2 linked regions of the Canis lupus familiaris genome follow. The protein of the gene in region 2 interacts with the protein of the main gene of each other region in a pairwise test. Links are inferred from orthologs where the notes say so. Each region holds a gene or a part of one and is shown on either strand. Other genes may lie near its edges.

What was found.
Region 1: the proteins of NR4A1 (region 2) and PRDX4 interact in a two-hybrid assay, tested with the Homo sapiens proteins (2 studies listed by BioGRID and IntAct). The link is inferred for Canis lupus familiaris from reciprocal best matches to the Homo sapiens genes NR4A1 and PRDX4.

What each region holds. Positions count from the first base shown.
Region 1 is NC_049260.1:19,457,626-19,461,273, forward strand, and holds part of PRDX4 (peroxiredoxin-4), read left to right. Parts: intron 1-2,322; coding exon 2,323-2,453; intron 2,454-3,072; coding exon 3,073-3,113; intron 3,114-3,593; coding exon 3,594-3,628; intron 3,629-3,648. UniProt on the Homo sapiens protein: Thiol-specific peroxidase that catalyzes the reduction of hydrogen peroxide and organic hydroperoxides to water and alcohols, respectively.
Region 2 is NC_049248.1:43,697,756-43,701,503, forward strand, and holds the start of NR4A1 (nuclear receptor subfamily 4 group A member 1), read left to right. Parts: upstream 1-959; 5' UTR 960-1,023; intron 1,024-3,748. UniProt on the Homo sapiens protein: Orphan nuclear receptor. Binds the NGFI-B response element (NBRE) 5'-AAAGGTCA-3'. Binds 9-cis-retinoic acid outside of its ligand-binding (NR LBD) domain.

The DNA of each region.
Region 1 (3,648 bases), on a different chromosome or scaffold from region 2:
TGACAGAGCCTACACTTGAAGCCAGGTACCAAAACTCCTTGCCTGTTTCTTTCTCCTTTTCTCTAAAATGACTCCAGTAATGGTTTTTCTAAGTACAATTATTATATTATTTAGCAAACTTGTGCTGTGGGGAGTGGGAAAAATTAAGGAAGTGCCAATAGAAGTCTTTGAAAAAAGGATAACTTTAGCTTAAAACAATTGTAATTTTATTATATTATCAAAATGCAGTGCTAATAATTTCTTTTTTAATGTTTTATGTGAAACTACCAGTATTTTATAGGCCTATGTTTTTTAATAACAATTTTATTGAGATAATTTACATACAACTCACCCATTTAAAGCCTACAATTCAGGCAGCCCCAGTGGCACAGCGGTTTAGCGCCGCCTGCAGCCTAGGGCGTGATCCTGGAGACTCTGGATCAAGTCCCACATCAGGCTCCCTGCATGGTGCCTGCTTCTCCCTCTGCCTCTCTCTCTCTCTCTCTTTTTGTGTGTGTGTGTGTCTATGAATAAATAAATAAATAATCTTTTTTAAAAATAAATAAAAAATAAAGCCTACAATTCAGTGGTTTCTAGTACAGCTAGAGAGTTGTGCAATCATCACCACAATCAATTTTAAAACATTTTCATTACTCTAAAAAGAAACCCCATACCCATTAGCAGTTACTCTCCCTTTCCCCCAATCCCCCTGCCCTGGCCCTGGCCCACTACTTACCTCCTTTATGTCTCTATGGTTGCCGATTCTGGACATTTCATTTAAATGGAATCCTACAATATGTGCTTTTTTATGACCAGCCTCTTTTCACTTAGCATAATGTTTTCAAGGCTCATTCATATTTTATCATGTCACTACCAATAGTTTCTTTTTTTGTGCTTGCCAAGTCTTTAATGTCTAGTCTCTTTTCATAAAATTTATTACTAAGTTAATTCCCAAAGAGGAAGTATGCCACTAAAAAGACTGAAGCTATTTTAAAATTTCGAATTAGGGACGCCTGGGTGGCTCAGCAGTTGAACATCTGCCTTTGGCTCAGGGTATGATCCCAGAGTGCTGGGATTGAGTCCCACATCAGGCTTCCCTGCGTGGAGCCTGCTTCTCCCTCTGCCTATGTCTCTGCCCCCCCCCCATGTGTGTCTCATGAATAAATAAAATCTTTAAAAAATAGAATTAAAATGAACTTTCAAATTATCTGAACATTAACCAAGTAAAAACCATGTAACCCCGAGATCGTGACCTGAGCCGAAATCAAAAGTCAACTGCTTAACCGACTGAGCCACCCAGGTGCCCAAGGGTGTGTGTTGGTACGATGTATGTTACAGAAGTAAGTTCACAATTTCAAATCAGACTCACTTAACTTCGGAACAGACTTCATCAGCATTAACAACCATTTTCTACTGGTAAAAGTAGCTACATCAAAGAAAACCCATATGAGTAATAGTTTACAGTTTTGCCCAAGTTTGGCCAAGTTGACCTAGTCCAAGGAAAGTGAGCTCTAGTTAGTTCAGACATCATGGTGCTCATTAAAGAAATATTTTGTAGGATAAGCAAAAACACTTTATAATGTTTAATGTGATTATGAAACAAAATTTCATGTAATAGATTTGTAATTCCATGTATTTCTATTAAAAATAGATCTCATTATTATTTATAATTCTCATAAGCAATTAGCCCTAGTACCTGAGATCTTTTTCTAAACCAAGTGTTAGGTTGAAATCCATATTGACTGAAATAAAAACAGTAAAGTCCTTTGGTAGTTTTTGTTTTTTTCTGGTCTGCTTTAACTCTTGCCATGCTATCTCAGTATAGCAGCTCTTTTAAGTTAAACTGCTCCATTATTCCCTAGGCCATAGAGTAAATACACAGATTTAAAGAGAAAGGTAACTTCGCTTATATTGGTGACTTTGTCTTTTCCACCTCTGAAAAAGGAAATACAAAGATGTTCTAAATAGCCAGTGATAAGAAAGGTGGATCACTCCTTCACCCAAAGGTAGACTTTGCTATATAGATTCATCATTTCATTTACAGTGCATTAAAATCCCAAACCTAGTACTTGTGAAGAATTAAATGGAAATACAACAGTACATTTCATAGACAAAAACAAATTTTTAAAGCTACCATTTAACAATGATAATCCCAAGTTATACAGTAGGTAAGAGTGGGTTTGGGCAGGGGGTTGTATTTGCATGTGTGCACACCAAACAGGTAATGTGTTGTTGGTTCTGTATAACATCCTTCTGTGTGGATGGCACAGTGATTCAGATTAACTAATATTTGTCTTAATTGAGATGAAATGACCTCACCTGTACCACTCTTGTGTTTTACAGAGGTCTTTTCATTATTGATGACAAAGGAATCCTAAGACAGATTACTCTGAATGACCTCCCAGTTGGTAGATCAGTGGATGAAACACTGCGTTTGGTTCAAGCATTCCAGTATACTGACCGACATGGAGAAGGTACCCTTTCCTTCTGTCTTGGCCTTTTGATTTTTTCATTTGAGAAATGATAGCACGATTAATTTGGTTTCTTAGTCAAAAAGTAGTGTGGGAAAAAAACTAATGTGGATGATTTCAAAATCCTCTGATTATTTTCAAATTATTACCTGGTCTTTTTAGCAGATCCAAGTATTATTTAAAGTGCTTTAAACAAAATATCGATAATATATCCTGCTTACAGAATAAAATGTAAAAATACTCATTTTATACAGTCCATAGATAAAAGTTTCTTCTACTGTAATTTTTAATTATGTTCCTATAAACTTAAAATATGCCAGTCTGACAGTATTTCATAATGTAGGTTTTATTTGCATGTTTACATTTTTTAAAATTTTTTTTCATGTTTACATTTTTTGACTTAGCTTTTTCCCTCAAAGCTGTTTGGTTTCATACTAGTGATCAATTCATCCTTTCATTCCCAAGTTTTTGCAGTAGCTAAATGGAAAAGGTCAGATTTTGCTAAAATAGAACATATGTGATATATTCTTTTCAAAAGTGTAACTCAGGCCCTGAGTAAGGGTGCATTCTAAAGGGGAAATGCCATTTTCTTAGTAATTTTGAACTCTTAATTGACAAACAGCAAACTGTGGCATCAATACAAGATACTACAGAAAACAGAAGGTAAGTTTATATTGGAAGTTTGTATAAATTCAGAGATTTTTGCCTTGCCCCAATCTTTCAGTTCACCAGATTCCCAAATCTTCCAACTTTACTAGATTTTTGCCTTGCTCCAATCTTTCAGTTCACCAGATTCCCAAATATTCCAACTTAATAGAGAAACACTCAACGTGGTTTCTTATATTGTAAATGTAACTAGATATAATTTACTAGAGAAACACTCAACGGTTTCTTATATTGTAAATGTAACTAGATATAATTGGCAAAAAAAAATGGAAATAGATTAGCTGCCTGTTGATAAACTCTGTGACTGGAATTCCTTGGTGCAAGCAGGCAAGCAAACTAATCAAGTGTCCTGTGGCCTAGAAATGTTCTCATTATTATAGGCTCTCTTCAGTTTCATTTTGGAAAAAGAAAAGCCAAGAGTGGCTGAAGAGAATTGAACATGTTCTTAAACTTTTTGCCAATTTTTGTTCCTTTCAGTCTGCCCTGCTGGTTGGAAACCTGGTAGCGAAACTGTAAGTCAAACTGATTTTTC
Region 2 (3,748 bases):
GGCTACCCTCTCCACAGGTGGTCAGGGGAGGGCGTGAGAAGATCCCCTAGAGATGCAGTGAGAGGCCCTGGGGGGGGGGGGCAGCGTGTGCCACCACCTCGCCGTGTGACCTTGAGCAAGTGCCATCATTTCCGAGCTTGTTTATTTATAAAATGGGGAAAAAGAGTCGGCACAAATTTGACCAGATTTCTCAGGCCCCGCCCGGTTCTGAAATTCGGTCATTTCCCAGCTGCAGCGCACCCACCCTGGAAGGGACTGGGAAGCGATCAGGGCCAGCGCGTGGAGCGGGGCCCACCGGCCAACGCCTGCCCTCGGAAGGTGCCCTGCGTGGGAGAGTAGGGGGCGGAGGCAAGCGGGGGGAGGGGGGCTCGAGGCTCAGACGACCCGGTGACCCTGCTGCTGGGGAGTAAGTGGCCGCGCTGCGCCGCGGGCTGGAGGGGCGCAGGCTGCGGGGGGGGGCGGGGTGCGCCCCGAGGTGCGCCCCAGGCCTCCGGGGAGGCTGCGCGGCTGCGAAGGCGGAGCAGCGGGCGCTGCAGGGAGCTCAGCCCGGGGAAGCCCCGCGGCCGCGGCTCTAGAGCGCCCCCTCCTCGGGGTGGCGCGGCCCGGGGCGCGCGGGGCGGGGGGAGCCTCGGGAGTCCGCGAGCTGCTATTTTTAGCGGGCGCGGCGGGCGCGCGGGGACTATTTATAGATCAAACAATCCGCGCTCCCTGCGTCAATGGAACCCCGCGTGCGTCACGCGCGCAGACATTCCAGCCTCTCGCCCCGCCCCCCGGGCTCCCCGGCCCGCGCCTCCCCCCGCCGCCTCCCGCCGGAACCGCGCCGCCCCCCGCGCCCTTGTATGGCCACAGCTCGCCGGGCCGCGTGCGTCAGTGGCGCCCCCGCCCCTCGCCGTGCGTCACGGAGCGCTTAAGAGGAGGGTCGGGCTGCGCCGGGGAGCCCCAGCGGCACAGGCTGCGGAGCCCGGAGCGCGCGGCCGGGAGCGCACACGCGGGACGGACGGGCGGGCGGAGCGGAGCCGCCGGGTAGGTGCCCCGCGGGGAGCGTGCGCCCCAGCCCCGGCTTTCGGGGTGTTGCATGGGGGAGACGGCCGTCCGCGCGGGCAGAAAGGATGTTGTGGGGTCGGCGTGCAGGGGCGCGGGCGCTGGGTGCAGCCCGGGCGTCGGGGGGAGCGCTTGCAGCGGGGGCACGACCCGGGCCGCACTCCAGCCCCCGGGCGCCCGAGAGGTGCAAGGTGGAAGCCAGGTGGAAGCCGCGGGGGGGGGGTGGGGTGGAGTTGGAGTTGGCACCGGGAGTGGGGACTTGCTGGGGACGAGGCTGCCTGTGGTTCAGCGCCCCCCCCCCCACTTGGGTGCCCGAGTGGCCCAGGGCGCCCCGGACCGAGGTGCTGATGGGCTCTCGGTACAGTGGGGCGGGGTGTGTGTGTGTGTGTATGGGGGGGAAGATCCCCAGAACTTGAGTTGCAAGGATCCGCGGGACTCCTGCCAGCTCTGGGTTTCCAAAAGGGTCTCCTTCCTCCCCGGCTGGTCGGCCTCCTCCCCCACCCCTCGTTCCTTTAGTTGTTTTCTTAACACGTTAGAGGCTGTGGCTTAGTTTGCAGGGATCCCCGAAGTTGGTGCCTGAGCGGTGTTAGGAGACTTCTGGATTGCTGGAGGAAGTGGCCAGCATGGGGGGCTTGGCTGAGCTGTGGAGGGGGGCTGCTGGTGTTCCACTCAGTCTTCTTAGAGGCAGGGTCTGGGAAGCACCGGGAAGATTGGTTAAGAGGTGTCTTGGATCCTGTGGGGCGTGGGGGCGGGTGCGGACAGAGGAGAGAGAGAGAGAGGTGTGGAAATCTTGGTCCTTGGGGATCCCGAGTGAGAATTGCTCATGTTGGAGTCCCTGGTGTAGTACCTGAAGGACACCCCCCACAGCCCCACAGCCCGGTCACACCCGTGCCCCCCTCCCCCCAGTCCCCGTTGGATCCTACAGGTAGGGTGCAGCCCGCAGCTTGTTCAGCATAACAGGTGCAAACCACATTGTTGCCAGGACCTGCCTGAAGCCGGATCCTCCCTGTTCCCTCCTCCAGCCCCGCCTCTTCCTCCTCCCTGGGGGACTGCTTCTCCCCCACCCCCTTGACGCTGGATGCAGGTCCATATCTGCTGTAGTTAAGTACCTGCGCCGAGGGGGGTGGAGGGGGAGGACAGGTTGGTGGGGGTTGATCCGGATGTGGGATGTCCAAGTGGAGAAACAGGATTTGAATAAGGCTGGAACACCCAGCCTTATTCCAGGTGGCTGCTACCTCTTCTCCACCCCAAACCCATCCCTGCCCCGGCTGTCCTAGCGCTGGAAGACGTGGCCACTCTTATCTCTTGCAGGTGCCGCGTATGCCTGCGGGCGGGCGGGTGGGCACTACCGGGTGGCTGGTGCAGAGCTTGAGGGGCTGTGTGGCCCCCGGCCGGTTGTGGCAGTGTCAGGCCAGGGGTGCGTCGCCCGTGGAGGTGGGAGAGGGCTGGACCCAGAGGACGTTCCCCCCCTCGCCCCCCCCCTCCCCGGGCTCTTGGCCAGGAGGTGGTGCCAGCCTTTGCCCCCTCTCTCTGTTCCCTTGATCGTGGCACTCTGTGTTCCAGCTTGCTTTCTTGCCCCGCCCCCCCCCCCCCCCCCCCCCCCCCCCCGGCCCTGGCTGGGAGGGCCAGAGCCGTGCAGACCCCAGGGGTGGACATGGGATGGGAACCCGTCCCGGGGCCGCCTCTGCGCTAGTTTGCCACGGGTCTGCAAACTTGAGGATCTCCTTCTAAGTGGTGCTGTCTCTGCCCCTTCAGGCCGCTCATGATTGAGGGTGTAACCAACCCTCTTTGCCTGAGCGCCTGGGTTATTCAGGGCCCAGAAACTCCTTCGTGGAGGGACCCAGGCGGGGGCAGGATGGCTTCCATCTGCCCACCTCCCGCCAACAGGCTCCTCCCTGTATGGCCACCTCGAGTCTGCTGGACTCAGAGTTCTCTTATAAAACTAACAAGAGGCAATGCTTTGGGGGTAGCAGAGAAATTCTTCTTAGGGACTGTCCATTCTCCTGGAAGTCTAGGGGGCCTGTTCTCTCCTCCTTCCTGCCCCTATTCGGCTTCCCTCCGGTGTACAGCCTTTAAAGGTCTGGAGCCCGGCTACTTGATCCCCTGGGGAACTGGGGATTGCTGAGGAGGGCCAGGGCTCCCTTCCTTTTTGCCTTTGGGAGCATCCCAGGCGGTGCCGAGTGGGTGCCCATCCCCAGATGGCAGGACTGGGGTGCGCGTGGGAGCTGCAGCCTTTGTTCAGTGTGTCGGGTGGGGGCAGGGATGGGGGACAGGCTCGGGGCTGCTTAGGCCTCTTGCTTAGCAGCTGGGCCTTCAGTCTCGACTCCTCTTCCATTTTCAGGATGTCCTTCCCAGGCACCGTGGGGGGAGGAGGAGAGGGGGCTTTGCAAAGGCTGGGCTGTGCCTGGGAATATTCCCAGAAGTGCCAGGTTGGAGAAATGACATACCTTCACCCAGAGAGTGGGCTAAGTAAGGCTTTGCCTGGCTGCCTCTCCCACCCACCCTTCTTCCAGCCCCTGCCCACGCCTTACCCGGTGCGGGAGGGCAGGGGGCTGAAGGAACACAGCTTCCCCCTGTTCCAGCAGAGAAATGCTGGCTAGATGCCTTCCCTAGGGTTCCCAGGCTGACCGGGGTGTGGCTGGCCTTCCAGCTGAGCCCACTCCTGCTGGGCCACTGCCCGGGGGCTTTGTGACATGAGGGTTGAGAT